3 linked regions of the Stegostoma tigrinum genome follow. The protein of the gene in region 3 purifies or fractionates together with the protein of the main gene of each other region. This does not show direct contact. Links are inferred from orthologs where the notes say so. Each region holds a gene or a part of one and is shown on either strand. Other genes may lie near its edges.

Evidence for each region.
Region 1: the proteins of zinc finger protein 644-like (region 3) and adnpb purify together in Homo sapiens (affinity purification with mass spectrometry; 3 studies listed by BioGRID and IntAct, with this or other methods). This does not show direct contact. The link is inferred for Stegostoma tigrinum from reciprocal best matches to the Homo sapiens genes ZNF644 and ADNP.
Region 2: the proteins of zinc finger protein 644-like (region 3) and ehmt2 purify together in Homo sapiens (affinity purification with mass spectrometry; 3 studies listed by BioGRID and IntAct, with this or other methods). This does not show direct contact. The link is inferred for Stegostoma tigrinum from reciprocal best matches to the Homo sapiens genes ZNF644 and EHMT2.

Annotation. Positions count from the first base shown.
Region 1 is NC_081372.1:40,818,543-40,825,983, forward strand, and holds the start of adnpb (activity-dependent neuroprotector homeobox b), read right to left. Parts: upstream 3,006-7,441; 5' UTR 2,494-3,005; intron 1-2,493.
Region 2 is NC_081387.1:20,687,681-20,694,902, forward strand, and holds the start of ehmt2 (histone-lysine N-methyltransferase EHMT2), read right to left. Parts: upstream 3,006-7,222; 5' UTR 2,976-3,005; coding exon 2,949-2,975; intron 300-2,948; coding exon 215-299; intron 1-214. UniProt on the Homo sapiens protein: Histone methyltransferase that specifically mono- and dimethylates 'Lys-9' of histone H3 (H3K9me1 and H3K9me2, respectively) in euchromatin.
Region 3 is NC_081361.1:87,622,595-87,629,596, reverse strand, and holds the start of zinc finger protein 644-like, read right to left. Parts: upstream 3,013-7,002; 5' UTR 2,701-3,012; coding exon 2,354-2,700; intron 2,305-2,353; exon of another isoform or gene 2,211-2,304; intron 2,162-2,210; exon of another isoform or gene 2,023-2,161; intron 1-2,022.

The DNA of each region.
Region 1 (7,441 bases), on a different chromosome or scaffold from region 3:
TTTTATGTCACTGAAATTTACATCCATGGCAGGACAAAACTAAAATAGTATAAACAATAAATTAAAGACATTGGAGTTTTGTTATGCTTAAGGATCTATTATATTCAGGTCACTTAGGAGGTGAATTTCTGTGCAACATGCACTTTTACAACCATGAAGTAATATGGGTCTTCACATAGTGATAGAGATCCCACTTACTTTTCTCACATGGCTGACTAGAAATCTTTGTTTTTCTCACTGCCCACTGTTGAGATATGTTGAAGAGACTTCTGGCTCCACAATTAAACCAACCTCTGGCTACTCTGTGAGCACACCTTCCTTGGCCATCAAATCTTGCGGTGTGACTCAAACAGTGTTTATAACTAGAGGAAAATAAACCAGAAGATTACACAGTTTAGATTTGCCTAAGCAAAACAGCTATTAAGGTACCAGGTCCCATTTTAAAGAAAATTCAAGTAAAGTATTTCATGCTGATTGGGAATGATACAGGATGCCAGCCAAAAAAAAACTTCAGAGTCTGTTTAATCTGAATAGCAACTTGCACCATTGGAAAGATAACCTTCTGAAAAGGCACATGATGGACAAAAATGGGTGATCACTATATAGCCATTTATTGCTAAACAGTAATCGCCATACCCAACTAAGCCAATTATGCTCAATCATCTTCTGAAATATCCAACCAAAACCATCTAACAAGTCATAGATGCTTTACTTGGATGATAGGATGAAGCAACAGGACCAATTCCTTTAGCTAAAAAGACAGCGCACTCCAAGTGCAGTCAACTTCCAAACACTAACCAACGTTGTACTTACCACCATTTTTCACATTCTTTCTTTCCACCAGTTGTCACTAAATGCATTTAGTTACGAAGAAGCTGGGTTTCAGTAGTATGGGGTATACCAATGAGACATGCATTTGGTGAAATAATTCAACTACATTGCATGGTTATTATGCCAGCTACTGTTTTGCATGTGACCCAAAAGTCTTCAAGCACCACATTCGGAGTCTAAGCTACAGGTGGCGCTGTACTGGGAGCGTTAGCATTTTTCTGATTGAGCATTTCTTTACACTAACAACTCCTCATCCTGCAACTGAAGCCTCAAAACTAGCCTCTGAAGAGCGCCTCCTGCTGCACCGAGTATTGATTTTCATTCTCTGCATGGCTGCACTACAACATGGGTGGGGGCGGCTGTGCACGGAAGAAGTGGAAAATGATTTGCCATTAGCTGAAGGGTGAGAAATCAAGAATCATTAACTTAGTTTTATTCTAAAAAACACGTTTTTAGACACAATAAGTAGAAAGATTATTAAACAATTTTATTTGATGCAAAACAGTTCAAAATGCATTTTCTTGCATTTCGGGGTCGTAATTTGCAACACAAGCCCTGATAACAGCGGGACCGGTCAAAATTTCTCCAAAGAGCACGTGCCAAACATTTCTACTTAAGCAATTACAAAACTGGGAATCCCTAAATCTATTCATGTCTGCAGTAGAGCAGTACTCGCGCCATTTTACAGCAACGTCACAGCCGGCAACCGGTCCAGAGGTGCACATTTTAAAAATATCATTTTAACTTATCCCATCCCCAATATTATTTGCATCATAAAATATCCGGAAGCATCATCGAATGGAATCACTATGTGAATTAACAAATAAATTAAATCTCAGTTTCCATCCACCCCGTCTTCTGTCTAGGGCGTTTCTTGCTGTCTGGATTGGTTGAGCATGCTGTCTAAAGACCATAGAGCACTAGAAAAGGTATTGAGCAAATGTGTAAACAAATGTTCGATCAGATTCACGACCGATGGCACACAGGATAGCCGGCGACAATTGCTATTTTATATTTTATGCATCCGAAACCGCGACGATTTCGAAGGGGCTTGAAATTATTTGAACTAATTTACCAGCGGATCAAACAATCCGCTAAACATAAAAAAACGTTCTGCAAACAAAAAAAACAAAATGCCTCGATCCATTCAGCTCCAGACACAGGTAAATACTGTATTTCGCGATTGGGAAAGGTAACACTCCTATCGATTGGGTGACTTGACCCATCACATATGCATCAAATCGATACATAGTAAATTATACTAATATCCGAACCCGCACCTAGTTTTGAAGAACAATGGACACAAATGATCGACAACAATTATAAGCGATGGGATAGTGTAACCAGTATCGCTTGAATTGCGGATTTGTCAAATTCAGCAAAGAAAATCCTGTCTTTGGTGTATTTTTAAATCATGCAAATAGGCAACAAATAGGATAAAGCAATCGTTGCAGATAGACCTCTGTACCTATGCATCTCTAGCAATCAGCACTTGATACATGGACAAAGATAAAAGGAGAATACTCGCATGTAACACACATTTGCTGCAGGGGGGTTTCCCCTCTTTTTCTGGCAAAATACAAAAAGCATAATCCAAAAAATGCTGATGTACAGAAGAGCTCGGTTACAGACTTTGACAAAAAAAAATCGAAACGCTCTCACCTTTTTCTTTTCCTTTTGTTTTTCTTATTTTGGTTTAATCAATTAAGCGCGAGCCGGTCGGTCGGTCGGCCGAACCGGCAGCAGAGAGAGAAGAGCGCGAGGGAGGGAGCGGGCAGGCGAGCCGCAAACAAAGGGGCCTCCTCCTCCTGCTGCTGCCGCCGCTTCAATCTCCTCACATCAAACCCCGAGCGAGCGAGCAGCGGCCGCGGCGGTGCTTCCAGCGCTGACTGAAAGAGGGAGCTCTTTATACAGAGAGAGGGGAGGGGAGAGGATAGGAGGAGGGGAGGGAGGGGGAAAAGAGGAGGAGAGGGGAAAAAAAGACAACTGAAGGCCACCGAACAAAACCGCTTCGGGAATAAAACGAAAATAAACTTCGACCGACTAAACGAACTTTTTTTCTGATCGAAAACTTTTCGAGGCGCAAACCCCGAAGGGACGACAGGAAAAACAGGGGTAAAGAGATTCAATTGCTTTCGGACAATAATTCACTGAGCCTTCCCTGGCCAAAATGGCGTCCGAGAAAGAACGGAAGTGACGTATACGCTTTATTTGCATAGGGACTATTGTCCAATAGAGAGCAGAGTTGAGCATTACTTTGAGGGCAATTCACGCAAACTTCAGGCTCATGGCCCCCCTGCTATTTGTCCCACTTCTGCCAAGAGTGGTGAAAGGGGGTCAGATGGCTGGAATAATAAGGATAGTTCATGTTGCACAAGTCCCCTTTTGCTGTAGCCTCGCGAGAATTGGAGCAGGGCGTGTGAAAACGAGGCTCCCTCGAGCCACCGCTAGGGGCGCTATTCCTCACCCGCCCTTTCTCTACTGGCCAGGCGGCAGTAGTGCGCAGGTGCGAACTAGGGCATCTGGCGCCTCCATCTGCTCGCCGTGCTCTCGCAGACCTCAGCACACATATGTGAGTACAACTTCATTCAGCATTTGGGTTATTACTACGCCTCAGGCCTGCTCCAGCACTACTTTCTGAGATCTTGGTGGGATGTCCTCCATTTTGTCACACCAGAAAGTTGCAATGGACATAGGGGATGAAAATATGCCCATGTTCAGACCTCAGAATCTACTTACTTTTACACACATGATGTCATATTTGAGAAAGGCTCTCGCCCAGGTGTGTAAAGAGTCACAAATATCTTCACAATGAGATAGGGAGATTTAAAGAACTGCTATCATGACAGCCCAACACTTTAGTAGATTTGGTTTTGAAATTTGAGATTGTCACTACTGCAGGCTATTGTTAATGTTTAGAGATCATGCAATTTGTTATTATGTATGTTATTTGAATTATAGATTGGCTAGTAAATGTCAGTGTCTCAAGTTGGCATACAAGTGTACCATATTTTTTAACATAGGTTTCCATGAAACAGCTATGGTAACTGATCTATCTCTTTGAATCTTTGTATTTCAAAGTTAAAATCAGGAGTCTAGACAGTTTAATAAAGAGAAGCTTTCCATTGCTAGAGAGGTCATGAACCAAAGGTAATCAAATTTATGGTGATTGGCAAAAGATCCAACAGTGTCATGAGGAAATTTTTTTTATTTAAAATGCAAACAGTTGGTAACTGGCAAACCTAAAAAAAATGTTGTGTTGCAGATTTGACTGACATTTTAATGAAATAATCAAAAAGGTTGACGAGGGCAGAGTGGTAGCTGTTGTTTACTTCAACCTCAGTATAGCCTTAGACTACCATGCAGAACCTTGTCAAATAAGTTAGATTATGTGGGATTCAAGATGAGCTTTCCAACGGTGGGGGGAGGTGGTGTGGGTGAGGGGGGTTTGGGGGGATGTTTGCAGCTGGTGGTGGGGGGGGGATGTGGGGAGTGGGAGGTCTGGGGAGTGTTAGGGGAAGGTGTGAGGGGGGAGGTGTGGGGAGATGGTGGGGGGGTGGAGGTGGGGGAGTGGGGAGGGGTATGAGGTGGGGGTATGGGATAGGAGGGTGGAGGTGGTTGGGTGGGGGTGTGTGTGTGTGTGTGTGTTGGGGGCGGTGAAGCGGGGTACGTGGAGGTTGTGTCAGGGTGGAGATGGTAGGGTTGGGGGTGGTGGAGGAGGCGGCAGCGGCAGAGAGTTGTTTGGACTGGAGGCCTGTGAACAGCAGTGTTCCAAAGGATCAGTACTGGGTCCATTTTGGTTTGTCACTTATATAAAAATGATTTGGGTGAGAATATAGAAGGCATAGTTTGTGAGTTTGCAGGTGACACCAAAATTAGTGGAATACTGGACAGTGAAGAAGGTTATCTAAGATTACAAAGAAATCTTGATCAAATTGGGTCAATGGGCTGAGGAATAGCAGATGGAGTTTAATTTGGATAAATGTGAGATATTGCACTTTGATAATACATAAGGGACAGGTCTTGTACAATTAATAGTAGGGACCTCAGTCGTGTTGTGGACCAGAGACACCTCGGGCTTCAGTAACATAATTCTTTGAAATTTGCATCACAGGTAGACAGGGTGGTTAAGAAGGCGTTTAGCACGCTTGCCTTCATTGCTCAGACTTCCACTCATAGGAGTTGGGACGTCATGTTGATGTTGTATAGGACATTGGTGAGGCGTCTTCTAGACTAGTGTGCAGTTCTGCTTGTCCTGTTAAAAGGAAGGATATTATTAACTAGAGAGGGTGCAGAAAAGATTTACCAGGATGTTACCAGGTGGGATGAAATGTTTGAGTTGTAAAAATTGACTGGAAAGGCTGGAATATCTTTCACTGGGATGTAGAGTTAGACCGGTGACCTCCTTTGAGGTTTATAAAATCATGAGGGGCATAGATGAGGTGAATGACAAGGGTCTTTTCCCTCATGGGGTGGGGCGGGGGGGGGGGGGGGTGTTCAAATTTAGAGGCTTATTTAAAAAGGACACAGAGCAACTTCTAAATTTTTTCTTTAAAAAGAGAGTGGCTAGTGTATAGAACGAACTGCCAGAGAAAGTGGCGGATGCAGGTACAGCTACACGTTTAAAAGACATTCAGATAAGTCCATGAAAAGAAAAGTTTGGAGGGATGTGGGCCAAGCACAAGCAGGCATGTCTGGTTTTGTTTGGGAACATCACTGTGGACTAGTTGGATCGGAGGGTCTGTTTCCAATCTGTGTGATTCTGATTCTTACCAAAGCTGACACAGACATGACAGGCTGAATGGCCTTTTCTTGTGCTATAACCATTCCAACTATTTTCATTATTATAGGATGTATAATAAAAGCGAGGCATCACCTTGTACCTCATTGCATTCCTACAAAAGTATCACGCTAATCTTACACGGAAAGTTCAGCACATCCAACAATAATAAAGCTGCATGAGTTTTTAAATTTAAATTCAGAAAAAGTGCATTCAGTGTTTTATCTGAAATTAAACAGATAGTGAACTTTTAAAGGTTGAAGTGAAAGTTGTGTTCTGTAACTGTGGCTGAAAATATGCTTTGTCTAAATTGGTTCTGGGAGACACTGAGCTCGTTACTGACTGAATGTGTACACCAGTAATTAGCAGTAACAGGTCATTTTGAAAATTAGAAGGATATCCAAGTTTCAAATGTAAAGCCCAAAAGCAGTTAGTTAATGGATACCCATTAATTTACTAACACTGTACCTTAAAGTTATTACTTTAGTCAACATGTCATGACTTTTATGTAACTTACGATATTTTATAGAGAACACAGATGAGATGCACTAATTATGTGAACTGATCCCAAGTTAAGAAACTACTTATTGCTTGTCCTTCAACCAATATCTGAATATAGATTGACTATTTGTACTGAGGACATACCTGTGCATGAATGATTAGAAGTTATTCCAAAAGATTTATTAAAAGGGATTTTCATAATGTTTTCAGGTTATTCACAAGTTCAACATATAGCTGTAAATGTTTCCACCTTAGATTTCCTCACCTTATCAAATTGTTTTGTTAAATATTGCAGTTTTCACCCCAACCCCTCACACGCACACATCAGATATACACATATTTTTGGATTTGCATATTCCAAATTCATGGCTTTCTTTTTGCACTCTACCCATCTTAGTTTGGTTTAGAGGGATATGGGCCAAATGCAGGAAAATGGGACTAGTTTAATTTTGGTAAACCTGGTCAGCATGGACGAGTTAGACCAAAGGGTGTGCTTCTCTGTTGTGTGACTCTATTGCTCAATATACCTTAACCTTATTTTTGAATGAAGAGTGACCAATACTCAGTATGGAGACTAAAATCACAGCTTTAGAGAAGAGCTTTATTTCTCTTCAATGATGTGTTGAACTTAAATTGCAACAAGGAACACAGCACATTGTTTTGATTCAGCAGAGTAGCTTTAGTTGTATCTAAGAAAGAAAGCTAAAGGTTATTTAAATCTCCAAAATTGGTTTTAAATTTAATCACCTTCTCTTGATATATACCATTATGAAATGTAAGATTATCCTGGTCTAGAGCTTAAATAAGTCAGTTCTGGAATTCACTTTTAAAAGTGGCGATAATTCATTTCAAAGTTTCACCTCAGAATATAGATTAATTTTCCTACATTCATTAATTGCCATTTAATTATATATTTTCAAAATGAATTCTACCACAGTGAGCCCAAAATCACTGACTTTGACATTTCTTGACTAAATAATTGTTACATTTTGGCCAGTATAGACTGGAAATACACACACCCAGTTAGTAACTACCTCATCTTATCTGCTGAGAGATGTATAACATGAAATCCATTATAAATACAGACTTTGTCCCAATGTTCACCTAATATTGCTTTGTTGCAAAAGTGTTAGCATAATTGACCAATAAGAATTCTGGTACTCAAATAGCTATACATAGTTGCAACAGTTGTGCACATTTGCAGTGCATTGATCAACAATATTATTTCCTATGAACACAAATGCATAGTATTACATCAGTGCTGTCACAAATTTACAAATATTAAATTTAAAATAAATGTATTATTGAATGATTTTATTGAGCCAGTCA
Region 2 (7,222 bases), on a different chromosome or scaffold from region 3:
AACTCTGTCTTTTGACCCAACTAGGAAAGTGACAAAAGATCCCAAGACACCACACAGGATGGAGTCTCTCCCTACCACTGTAATGGTCAGCGACCCTAGCCCCATGGAGACTTCCAGAACCAGATCGCCATGTCTTCTCTCTCTCTACACTCTACTCTGTGTTGCTGTGTCCTTTGCTGACAGAACAACTGCTGTCTTGAATCTGTAATCTTACCTTGGACTAGTTCACAGCTAGGGCTCGTGTCAAGCACCAGGAGTTCTGGTTCTGCTGTAGCTTCAACTGGGCTGTTAGCCACCACCTGTGAAAGGAAAGCAAAATAACTCACAATGTTCCAGGGGAAATGTATCAATTTGATGATCCTACCTCAACATCTCCAACAAATCCACCCACCCCAACTCCTCACAGCAAGACAGGAAGGGTCTCATGAGGTTGAGGAGATTGCACTCCAGAAGAATGCTAAACCTCTTTCTCTCAGGCTCTGCTTTTTATTTCAAAATCACTCCCTCCTTTTGCATTCCATATATCCCTGCTTTCTGTTGGAATAGTGTCACAGGGGGCTGAGCTGGAGGCACAAGGAGGGGAACAGTACAGATAGGGAAGTGACCCAACACACCAAAGAGAAACAGTGTCTTCTCTGTTTTGAGCAAAAAAACCTATCCTACACCACTAGACACTGAAAAGTTTACAACACAAGCCAAGGAACAGCAGCTGCTGGACCACTCTTTTCTCTGACAAATAAAAAGTGTTGCCTTCAATTGATTACTCAATTCTGGGATTGTAAAGAAACGGGCAGATCAGTCCATCTAGCTAAAGCTCCACACAACCCTCTTCATCCCACCTTATCACTGCACCCTTCTTTTTCTTTCTTCTTCTTATGGTCATCCAGTTCCCTTTTAAGAAAAAACTATGTCAATTGTGTCAATTGCTGTCTGGGTACAAAGTTCCACATTCTGGGCAAAAAAAGTTCTTCCTGAATTCACGACTGAATTTATTAGTCATTAGGCTGGGGTGGACAAAATTAGAAGTCACACAACTTCAGGTTACAGTCCAACAGTTTCTTGATGAAGGAGCTGTACTCTGAAAGCTTGGGATTTTAAATAAACCTGTTGGACCACAACCTGGTGTCGCGTGACTCCTGGATGTATTACTAACTGTCTTATATGTGTGGACCCTAGTTTTGAACTAAAAAGATAAGTTATGCTAAACAAGTATTGAACCTGATTACACCACATTTAAGAGTATTGTATGGAGTTCTGGTACCATATAATGAAAAAAATATATCAGGCACTGGAGAAGTGACAGAGAAGATTACTAAAGATAGAAACAGAAATGTGTGGGTATACATATCAGGAAAGGAAATGCTGTAGGATGACCTAACAGAAGTCTTTGAAATGATGAGCAGTTTTGATTCAGTCAACATTGTAGGGCTACTGGGAGATTTGGCTTCGCTTAACCAACAACGTCTGGCTGGATATAGAATTGTAAAGTTTTACAGCATGGGAAAAAGGTCTTCAGCCTATGGTGCCAGTCAAACATCCATCTACTCTAATCCCATTTTCAAGCATCTTGCCTGCAGCCTTGTACATTATGGTGTGTTAAAATATTTATCTTCATCTAAGTACTTCTCAAAAGTCTTAACACATCTCGCTTCTAGCATTGTTTTAAGCAGTGTGTTCCAGACATCCACAATCCTGTGAGTAAAGAAGGCTTTCCTTAAATGACGTTTAAACGTTCTGCTTCTACTTTAAAACTTTGCCCCTTGGCTTTTGATCCTTCAGAGGGGAAGCATTTTCTCCCTATCTATCTTGCCTCCTGCAACTTTGTGTAAATCAAATCAAATTCAATTTCAGCTTTCTCTGCTTTAAGAAAACATCAGCTTATCTCTTCATAGTGGAATCACATCAGCCCAAACAACATTCTGCACCCTCTCTAGATGCAGTAACATACTTCCTTTGGCGTGGCAAAACAGAACTGAAAAAAGCTGTAGTCTAACTAACATTATAAATAGTTCCATCATACCCTCTTCGCTCTTGTATTCGATGCCTTGAGTAATAAAAGCAGTCTGTTTGACATGGGAATGCATTATAGCCGAGATACCCTTCTGTTCAGTCCTCCTCTGACACCAAATCTTACACCTTCGCTGCTCAACAGCGGTAAATCTGACCGACTTCCCTCCCGCCACTCAGAAATAGGCCATGTGTCCACTTAACAAGCTAACTACCTCGGACAGTCTTGCATTTAACCTAATATGTCTTTGACAGGCGGTTTATATTGCAGCATTTCACCTAAACGATCATCAAGATTGGTAAAGAGAATCAGAAGGAGGTGCGCAGTACAGTCGAACGAGTCAATGTGGTAAGTTTTCAAGCATTTTAAAATCGCTAACAAAAAACGAGAATGTGCTGTTAACGACATAAAAGAGAGAGTTTTATTGAGCTAAAGAGAAAATAACTGGACAGAATCGCAGGCTTGCAAGTTAATCAAAATACACTGCCGAGAAAAAAAAATTGCACAGCAACAAGGCAGCATGCCTTAACTGTACAGTCGGCCAGATTCGTACCCCAGACCTAGGATAACGGACAACCCGCAACGTTATCAGAGGCAGTTTATACACTCTGCAAGATATGGGGATCGGCAGTCAATTACACAGTACATCGAGGCCAAGCCGAAGCCTGCATAACGCATATCTCCTACGCCACCAACAAAGGGAGGTCACTACATCACACAGATTACAGGGTTCCAAATATTTCTCCACCCCAAACCTCGTATAGCGCATGTCCAAACACTCCAAGAGAATGGAATGGATACATCACACAGGATAAAGGGTTCTACAGTCAATCATCGTAGCCCAACCCTAACCCTGTGTAATACGTTCCGCCACGAGCCAACAATAGGGAGCCAATGCGCTACACAGGATACAGGGTGAAGAGAACAGTCGCCCGCTAACCTCCGCCCGGAATCGCGCATAACGCATCCAATCAGTCCAACGCAAGGGGAGTCGATGCGTTGTTCAGGTTCCCTGGGCCCGGCTGTCAATCACTTGGTTCCTTCCCCCTCTCCGCCTCACAAAGCGCCCGAGACCCATGGCCGCCGTGGACTCGGAGCCGACGGAGCAGCAATGAGCGAGGGAGGGGAAAACGAAAAAGCCTCGGTTTTAGATGTAAGCCAGGATGGGATTTGAGCGGGGTGGGTGAAGAGAAGTCTAAGCGCCCCCGATGTAAGTGAAGAGTCATAACAATTTTTTAATCGGAAAGAGGAATTCCCTTCCCTCAGCGGCTGTCTCACCTCAGCATCCAGGGAAGCCATGGCTCCCGGCCCGTGACGTCATTGCGCAGTGGAGGGGGGCGGGACCTAACCTGCGCGGGGCGTGGCCTAGCCGGATGAAGGGGCGTTGCCATCATTTAAAGGGCCAGTGCTGCTTTCAAGAGGGAGTGGAAAGAGCTCAGTCCACGTCGGTAATAAAGTGTGAAGCTGGATGAACACGGCAGGCGAAGCAGCATCTAGGAGCACAAAAGCGGACGTTTCGGGCTCGCCTTCTGTGGTGAAGGGTCTAGGCTCGAAACGTCCGCTTTTGTGCTCCTAGATGCTGCTTGGCCTGCCGTGTTCATCCAGCTTCACACTTTGTTATCTTGGATTCTCCAGCATCTGCAGTTCCCGTAGGAGTGAGTTGCTCTTGATGCTGGAATCTGTACTGACAACAACAACAAATGTTGGAGATCGCAGCGGGTCAAGCAGCATCCATGGAGAGAGAGAGAGAGCAAACTAATGTTTCAAGTCGAGATAGCTCTTCATCAGATCTAGTGAAGTGTGGAAGGGACAGCATTTATGCTATTGTTGCGAAGGTAGGTGCAGAGTCGTGAGAGAGAAAAGACGTTGATAGTTCAGATTAAGAGACCAGAATGCGAGAACTGTAGAACGATGATGTGTCCAACTGCCAGATTTAGAAGAGCAGGCAAGGTTTTTCTGAAGAAGGGTTTAGGCTGTAAATGTCAGACTTCCTGTTCCTCTGATGCTGCTTGGCCTGTGTTCATCCAACTCTACATCTTGTTGTCTCTGTCCCTCTGAGGTGGTGAGAGAGGAGACAGCACATGGTGACAGAGAATGTAACAAGTAAAGCTAAAGGAAAGGTTAGGAGTAGCAGTTTGTTCACAATTTGAAGGTGCTGAACTTAATATTAAGTCCATAAGGCTAGTCTGATAATGAGACTGGAGGTGTTCTGCAAAGCAGTCACTCAGTCTGCGTTTGGTTTCTCCAATGTAAACATAAACTGGGTCACAGCTTTGCAGATCGACTCCAGTCTGTACGTGGCCAGTCATTTTAACACAACAGACTGCTTGCATGCCCAGTTGTCTGTCTTTGGCATGCTGCGGTGCTCCAGTGAATCACAGCACAAACCAGGGGGAACAACATCTCATCTTCAGACTAGGCCATTTACAGACCTCCAGCATTTGTTGTACTCAGTCCATGACTTGGTTATATCACAGAATGGTTACCATCTACAGAAGTTGCCCATTTTGACCTGTTGTGTGCGTGCACAAAACAACCGTCCAAATGAAAAACAGAAAGCTGGCACACGGTGCAGCAGGTAATCAGGAAGGCTGATGGAATGTTGGAAAACTGCAGATGCTGGAAATCAGAAAAAAAAAGAAATATAGGAAAAGCTCAGCAGGGCTAATAGCATCTGTGGAGAGGAAGCAGAGTTAACATTTCAGGTTCAGTGACCCTTCAGAATTGTCAAGAGCAGAAGCTGCCAGACTTGCTGAGCTTTTCTAGCTATTTCAGATTTTTGTGTCAGCAACAAAAACAGAAGACACATCTGAGGAAGGGTCACTGGACCCAAAACAATAACTCTGATTTTTTTCTTCACAGATGCTGCCAGACCTGCTGAGCTTCCAGCAACTTTTGTTTTTGTTCCTGATGTATCTGCAGTTCTTCTGGTTTTTATTCAGTTTTTGTGTGTTGTGGAAGCAGGGATGGGATTTATTTCATGGGTTTTGGAGTATAAGAGTAGAGACATCTTATTATAACTGTAACAAGGTACTGGTGAGAACGCATCTAATATACTGAGAATATTTTGTTCCCTTATTTAAGCATAGGTATTATTTCAGTTTAGGCAGAGAGGACACAGAGACAGTTTAGAAAGATGATCTCTGATATGGAGGCATTGTCGTCCGAGCACAGGCTTAACAGGTTGAGACCCTACTCACAGGAGTTTAAAATGAGAGGGGATCTCATTGGAACATATAAGATGATGAAGGGACACTGACAGGATAAATGCTCAGAGGATGTTTCCCATCACGGGAGAGCCTAGCATAGCAGACATAGTCTCAGAACAAAACAGCATCAGTTTAAAACTATGAAGAATTGTCTTTATAACTCCTTGCTACAGACAGCTACGGAGTAGAGTCTTTATATGTATTTATGGCTTAGATAGATTCTTGATCAGTACGGGTAATCAATGGTTACAGGAAAAACACAGAAAAGCTGACATGAGGAATGTCAGATCAGCCATGATCCTATTGAATATTGGAGCAGGCTCGTTGGACCAAATGCCTATTCCTGTTCCTATTTCTATAGTCTTAACACATGCATTTAGAGCCACTTGTCATACCCCTGCACTCACTTCCTTTTTCAACCCAACTCTCTGTTGAATGCCTTGATTGAAAGTGCCCCCATGCATTCTCAGGCAGCACATTCATGTGACCTACACCACTTCTGAATGAAAATATGTATCTCTGTTGTTTATTTTTTCAATTTCTTTCATTCTGGACCTTCATGCTCTCAATCAGCAATGGGAATAATCTTTTTTCTATGTTGCCCAAATTTCTCAAGATTTGAATACTGCCATCAAATCTCCTCTCTCTTCTGCAAGAAAAGCAGTTGCACCTTCTCCAGTCGATCTACGTAACTGAGGTTCCTCATACTTGGACCCATTCTCTTGAATCTTTTCTGCACTTCAATGTCTTCTTGTATTTCCAAGAGCTAGACTCAGTACTCTAGTGGCAGCTGAAACACTATCTTTTTCAAGTCTAACACAACCTAATCTTAAGTCCATGTTCCAATTAATAAGGCCTAGGATACTGTATGCTTTCTCAACTGCGCTCTTGCCAGTTCCAATGTCTTATTCGCATATACATCAAATTTTCTCTGCTCCCAAATGCTCTTTACTTTATACTGTCTATCTGTGTGCTTCCTACCAAACTCAATTACCTCAGGGATGTCCGCACTGAAATTAATCTGCCACTTGTCTGTCCATACCACCAATTTGTTTGCATTCTTTTAAATTTCTACAGTATCCTCCTCACAGTTCAAAATGCTTCCAAGTTTTGTGTGACATGCAAATTTTGTTCTTGTACCCTGTGCATCAAAGGCTAGGTAGCTAATATATATCTTCAAGAGCAAGGCTACCAGCACTGAACCCGGGCAGCTCCACTTCTTCCAACCCAAAAGCATTCATTAACCAGTACTTTTTGTAACTTGTCACTCAGACAATTTGAAATCCATGATAACAGCATCTTTATTTATTCCATCAACCATGACTTTGTTCACAAGCCTGTTGTGTGGCACTATGCCAAACTATTGTATGTCCATGTACACCATACATATAGCATTACCTTCATCAATCCTTGCTGCTACCTCATCAAACAACTCCAGGAAGTTAGTAAAACAGCATATTCCCTTAACAAATAGAACATAGAACATTACAGCACAGTTCAGGCCCTTTGGCCCTCGATGTTGTGCCGACCTGTCATACCGATCTGAAGCTCATCTAACCTACACTATTCCATGTACTTCCAATCTGTGCTGGCATTCCTTAATTATATTTGCATTTGCCCAAGTGGCTATTAATGTTGTCCTGAATTCTTTTTTCCCCAGAAGCTTCGTCAGCGCCAAAGTTAAACTGGCTGGTGTAATCTTCACACTCTTGTTTTGAACAAGAATCTAACATTTGCAGTGCTGCGGTCCTCTGGCACCACCTTGAGGTGAAGTCCTTTATACCTTTAACATTTGCCCTGTTCTGCCCTTTACACAGCCATATTCTATAGATCTGAAATCCCCACATTGTGACAACTCTATGATTCTTGCTTAGCTTTGTAAATTCCTTGCAAATTCCCATTCCTCCTGCAGTCTTCCCACTGGCTAGTTGCCGATGGGCTACACTGAGCAGTGGAATTGCACCTTTTCTGTTCCTTAGAGTTGCTCGTAAGATGCTGCTTGGCC
Region 3 (7,002 bases):
AATATTATAACGTGAAATCAAGCCAATGTGCATTAAAGTAAGAACTTAGTATTTGAGGAGGCACAGACATGCACTTTTCCATCATGAATACTTTTAAGCAGATCCAATACAAAGCAATATGACATATTTTGTATTAAATCAGCCAAGTTGTAATCATAGATCCAACTTCAGATTCTTCCCAACTTTTAATTAGAAAAAACTAGATAGAATAGGTCTATGCTGAACATTAACAGTTGTTCATCACAAAGCTTGACAAATTTTAAAAGTGTTTACAGATCATTCCATCAGGTATAAACCAATACAATTTGGATATGTACAACTTCCAAGTCCTTATACCACATTTACTTATACTTACTTTTATAAAACTTTGTTTGCTTACCAATGCAAAGCTTCTATGGAGAGCTTCAGCCAGCTCTGTGCTTTCACATTGTCCTTGTAGTGCTTCATTTGGCTAATCTAAAAATTCCACTTAAGAGTTTTCATGTCAACAATTTAAGACTCCTGGGAGAAACTCATTCAGAATCCATGTACATGGAACAACAAACCAAAAATAAACATTGTGGCTTCCTTTGAAAATAGGAATTTTCCCTCTGCTTCAGGTAGATGTTGGACAGGATTCCAAAACCAACTTGTCCAAAGCTCCGAGATAACAGGGTGTAGAGCTGGATGAACACAGCAGGCCAAGCAGCATCTTAGGAGCACAACTTCTGATGAAGGGTCTAGGCCCGAAACGTCAGCTTTTGTGCTCCTAAGATGCTGCTTGGCCTGCTGTGTTCATCCAGCTCCACACTTTGTCGTCATCAATTATCTGCTGTATCCTTTTGCAACAGAACTTTCCAGGTCTAGATCACCTCAGTAGTTACCTGCCCGAACCCTATTAAACACCTCAGATGACTCAAAAGGACAAACAAAAACTTTATTACTCTATTTATAGAGCAAATCAGCTAAGTTTAATTAAATGGTGGTGACAATTCTGTGTTATTCACACCCAGCTGGGTTACAGTGTGTGAGAAAATAATCCAGCTTGAAATGTTTAATGGACAAGATTATACGTCTTTTAAACTAGACATTAAAATAACTACAAAATTACATGCAAAATGAATGCAGGCCAAATGCTCATACTGGAAACCAATTATTATGGAGGCTTTCAAAAGAGTATTTGTAGACTCCTTGGCCAAAGATAGCTTACAAATATTTAAAGCACACTGAATATTATTGTGACAACATGCCACAGAAAGCAAGTTAAAGGTCCTACAAGAATCTTGCACTATTAAGTTAAATTCAGGAAAATCAGCCTCAGTACACAAAAAAAAACAAAAACCAAGATTAGACAGCATCAGACTCTTGTATTTCTGGATCTAATGCACTTGTCCTGCACCCAACTCCACATAACCATTAGTTATGAAATAGTTGGAAAAAATTTTAGTGTCCCTTGAAGGGCTTATCATAAACTGCAACTGATTAAAGTATATCAAAAAGGAGGGGGCAAAATTTCAAAATTTACAGCTATTTAGAAATTTTATGCAAGAATTCAAAAACATAAATTCATGACACTATGTTAAAGTTCCTCTAGATTTAAGTTACTTGGGATCCATTGTACAGCCATTATTCTATGATGGCATTTGGAAAAAAAAACTTCAGTTGCCTTACATAGAATCCAAAGATTAGTGGTATTGTACATCATTGACCTTGGATTTGGTAACAAACGCCACCAAACACCATACAAAACAAATAAGAGCAAGTTTAAAGGCAGACAATCCAGTTTGGAGTCATAGACTTTGAAGCACAGCACAGTTCCTTTCAATTCCTACAACACACTCCTGACATGCTTTCCCCCATTTTGCCCACAATCAATGCCAGTGTTCAGTTTATGCGTGTGGATGAGTCGCAGTGCAGAGCAGAACCTATTCAAATTAAAGAACTGCACAAAGCTCAAAAATTGACATTGAAAAAGGGGTAACCCAACTTTTGTTGTTGGAGTAGTGGGAACTAGCATGATAAAACCCAAGATTGGGGGAGGGGACGGGGTGGAAGAATTGGTCCGAGATGCCATGTTGCGTGGCAAAGGAAGACATGCAAGTAGTGTGTGCCCCGTCCCGCCTGAATTGTCTGTCACGCTGTCGAATCGCTGGGTCCAAACTACAACCCAACAACCAAGGAGGTGGGGGGGAAGAGAGAGAGGGAGAGAGAAAGGAGGGGGGAGGGGGGATTGGTGGTGGAATGGATGGCAAGCAAAAAAAAGCAAAACTCCCAACCGATCGTCGTCCTCCCCCACCCCCATCCACCGCTCTCTCTCTACTGTCGGTGAGCTTATTGCGACGGGAAGGAGGAAAAAAAACACACACGCACGTACCTTTTATTTTGGCACAAGGGAGTGCGCGGAGGAGCGGCGGGCCGGGTTTTTATTGTCAGCGCTCGTCCTCCATCCATCCAGGCACGGCCGCCATTTTGCTCGCTATTGTGCCCGGAGATGGTGAAGGCGGGAGGTTGGGGGGAGGGGAGGTTAAAAGAAAGGGGGCGGTGGGACGCCGGCCGTTGCTGAGCCCTGCCCGCGGCAACCGGGTTGGTGTGTGACGGGGGGAAAGTGGGGGTTTTGCTGGTATCGGCTGGGTACAGCCCGATGGTCGGCTTCCTGTCAGAAACGCGAGCGGGCGCAGTCCTTTGTCCCCGCCAAGTGCGTGTTTGTTCTTCCACCACCATCACCAACCGTCTCCTGTTTTTCTCCCCCCACCCCCCCAACGACAACCGCCTTCCTCCTTTCCCTCCGCCAGTGGAGGCGCCTTCCTCTCACAGCCGCCTCTCTCTGTTGTCGCTGTTTCTTTTTAAACATACATAAGTGGCAGCTGGGGCTTCAGGAAAGCGTGGAAATGGTGTCGGCTTCCTGACCAGGTGAGAGAGAGCAGGATTCTGACTATTCACTCACTGGAAAAGAAATATTTTGGATGGTTTGTGTGTTGGGGGGGGGGTCAGGGAGTGGAAAGAGGTCAAAACAAAAACCACTGCTCGTTTTTCTCGCAGCACCCGGTTTCCTGTCTGAAGAAAAACAAAATGGGAATGAACTCCCATCAGATCAACAAGGCAGGTGTCAACTCGAAGGAAACTCGACGCTGCAAGAAAAGTAATAATCAATGGCCAATTGGGCCAGCGCCCCATGGGACACTGGGAAACCAGGCCTTCAGGAGAAAGGGACCAAATAACAGTTTGTCTTTTGGGGAGTGAATAAAGTAAACATCTGTCGAGCCTTTTTAAAACAAATCAATCTTTCATCACCACACATGGGAAGATCGTTGAAACGTGCGGTTATTTTAATAGTTGCGTGGATGTTTTGCAAAGAGGCCGTTGCAAAGAATGTCTTAATTAATATTCCGGAAGATGTTTACCGGAATACTGCTGACTCCATGACTCTTGGCTCTCTGGCTGCTAGTGCTGGACAACACGTTCTCGGAAATTGTTGACAAACGATTTTAACTGCTTATCTACAGTTCAGGCATGATTCCTCGCTAAACTCCAGCACTCGATCTTTCACCAGTAGATTCCCAGCATATCATTTTTATTGATCTGTTTGCCATTTATCGTTACAGTCCTTTGCAAATAAAATGGTTGTTTTCAGCCATTGTTTTGGTTGCATTTCTTCACATCGTATACGTCCTACTCAACAATACCACTGTTTACATGAATTTTCTTTCAGCGAAGAGATAAATTGCTTCCATGTTTAGCTACTTAGAACATAGTGCAAGCAAAATAATGCAACTCCACAGGCATGGACCAAGCTTCAGCTGTGTAAGACAGCACCACCATTTTAAATGGAAATTCACATAAACAAATTAAAGTAATACAAACACAATTCCAAATTTCCAATTCCAAAAGCAGCTAAAAAGTTTAATGGAAAAGAAGATTTTGAACAATTGTGATAGTAATGGGAAAAAAGTGTTATATCAGGATTTCAATCACCCATATTCAATCATTGAAATAACTACAGGGAAAGAATACGGATGGATTTTGGTATGTCGAAAATATTAAATGAGTAACTTGTGTCAATTTTCACTTTTGAAGATCATTGAAATAACTACAGGGAAAGAATATGGATGGATTTTGGTATGTCAAAAATATTAAATGAGTACCTTGTATCAATTTTCACTTTTGAGGATGATGCTTAACCAGTAGAATTCAACAATGTCACTAATTAACATTGTTAATATTAAAAACAATATTATTTTAGAATTAAGAACCTTGACATAAAACAGTAGATCATTGAAAGGATATCCATCCAGTGGGTCTCAAGGAAACAGGATAAGGGTCTCCTAACACCCTTCTTGCAACCCTCCCCAAGCTAAACCAACCACCCCCCCACCTCCCCCATAGACTGGAAGAAGACTAATATTCCTTTTTTAATGAGGGAGATAAGACAGAATAGGATACCTTTAGGCCTAGTAGTTTGTTGTCAGTAATAAAGAGGGATGATTAGATATGTACTATTTAGCTACTTAAAGTAGGATATATCAGGAAGACCCAACATGGCCAGAAAAGGGTCCTGTCCCACATTTCAGTTCACTTTATGAAGCATTTATCAAAATAGTGAATGAGGTAAACATTTCCTCAGTTTTCAAAATGTCAGAAAGGAGGTGATGGTATTGTCACTGAGATTGGTAATCCAGAAACCCAGGTATTGTACTAAGGACCTGGATTCAAATTCCACCATGGCAAATGGTGGAATTTGAATGCAATAAATATCTGAGTGATGGCCAAAAAACTATTGTCATCAAAACTTATCTAGTTCACAAACATCATTCAGAAAGAGAAAACGTGATCTGGCCTACAGAGCCACAGAAATGTGGTTTCCTCTTAAGTACCACTAGCAATGGACTCTGTTGTCTCTAACTTTAAAAAAAGAGAATAAAACTAGACAGACCATCCGGCATCAACCAAGACACCCAGAAATGATAATGGCCTGTTGATCCTGCAAAGTCCTTCTCACCAACATGTAAGGGCTAGTGCCAAGATTAGGAGAGCTATCAGCCTGACATGCTCATACTCAAAGAATCATACCTTACATGTATCATTCTTGACAACACCATCATTATCCCTGTCCCATCACCAGGACAAATGCAGCAGATGTTGAGACACAGTGGTATACAGTCAGGAGGTAGTTTCTGCAGGAGTTTTCAACATTGAAAGCAGACCTTGTGAATCTCATATGTCAGGTCAGACATGGGCAAGGAAAGCTTCTGCTGATTACTACAAACTGATCCCCACCTCAGACGATGACTCAGTGTACTATGCTGAACACCACTTGGAAAAAAAACTAAAGGTGGCAAGGGCACAGAATGTCCTTTGATTAGGCAATTTCAGAGTCCATTGCCAATGGAAGCATCACTACTGACTGAGTTGGTCAAGTCCTAAAGAACATAGCTGCTATACCAGATCTGTGGCAAGTAGTGATGGAACCGACAAGAGTGAAAAATGTACTTGACCTCATTCCCATTGATCTTCCTGCGGTAGATGCGATCTGTCATGACAACATTAATAAGACTGACCACAGCACAATCCTTATGGAGACAAAGTCCTGCCTTCGTATTGATCATTGACGCCATGCTGAATGAAATAGACTTTGAACATATCTCCCAAATCAAGATTAGACATGCATGATGCACTGCGGACTGACAGCAGCGGCAGAATTGTACACCCACCAATGGCAACCTCATGGCCTGGGCAAATCCCTGCAACACTATCATCAAGTCTGGTTCAATGAAGAAGGCTGGAGCAGAACCAGGCCTACTTGCACATCAGGTGTTAACCTGGTGAAGCTACGAAACAATACCACTACAAGATAAAACAGTGTAAGCAGCAAGTGATATACAGAGCTAAGTGATTCCAAAAACAAAGCTCTTCAGACCTGCCACATCCGGTCATGGCTGGTAGTGTGCAATTTAAAAAGTGATTGGCAGGATGAGGATCTACAAATATCCCCATTCTCAACAATGATAATACATTAGTGCAAAAGGACGAAAGCATTTGCAACAATCTTCAGCCAAGAGTGCCAAGTAGATGATCCGTCTGGCCTCCTCCCAAGATCACTAGCGACAATAGTACTGAAGAAGTACACTCCAGATTTGCCACTCCCTTCAAGCTGTTCTAGTACAGCTATAACACAAGCATCTATCCAACAATGTGAGAACTTCCAACCTGACCCTATTAGTTTAATCTCAATCATCAGTGAATTTATGACAAGTGTCATCAACAGTGCTACTGAGCAATGTTTGCTTAGCGATAACCTGCTCACCCTGGTTTCTGCCAGGGTATCTCAATTCCTCACTATGTTATATCTTTGCTTCAATGCTGAGCTCCCAAGGGGACGTGAAAATGACTGTGCTTGACATCAAAATTGTATTTGACTGAATATGGCATTAAGGAACGCTAGCAGGCTTGGAGTCAATGGGAATTAAGGGAGAACTCTCTTTTGGTTGGGGTTACACCTGACACAAACCTGGTTATGGTTGGTGGAGGTCAGACACCTCAGCTCCAGGATGGTTGTACAGGAATTCCTCAGGGTAGTGTCCTAGGTCTAACCATCTTCAGCTGCTTCAGTAATATCCTGTCATAAGGTCAGAAGTAGGGATGTTCACTGATGATTGCACAATGTTCTAAATAAATTGTAAATCTTCAGATACTGAAGCAATCTGTGTCCAAATGTAACAAGTTCAGGACAAAATTCAGGTTTGGCCTGACAAGTGACAAGTAAGTGCCAAGCAATGAATATCTCCAATATGAGAATCTGATCATTGCCCTTGACATACAATGATTTCTCAATCGTACAATTCCTGAATTTCAGCATCTGGGGCTTAAAATTGACTAGGAACTAAGGAGTGGCACGGTGGCTCAGTGGTTAGTACTGCTGCCTCACAGCGCCAGGGACTTGGGTTCAATTCCACCCTCAGGTGACAGTCTGCGTGGAGTTTGCATGTTCTCTCCATGTCTGTGTGGGTTTCGCCCAGGTACTCTGGT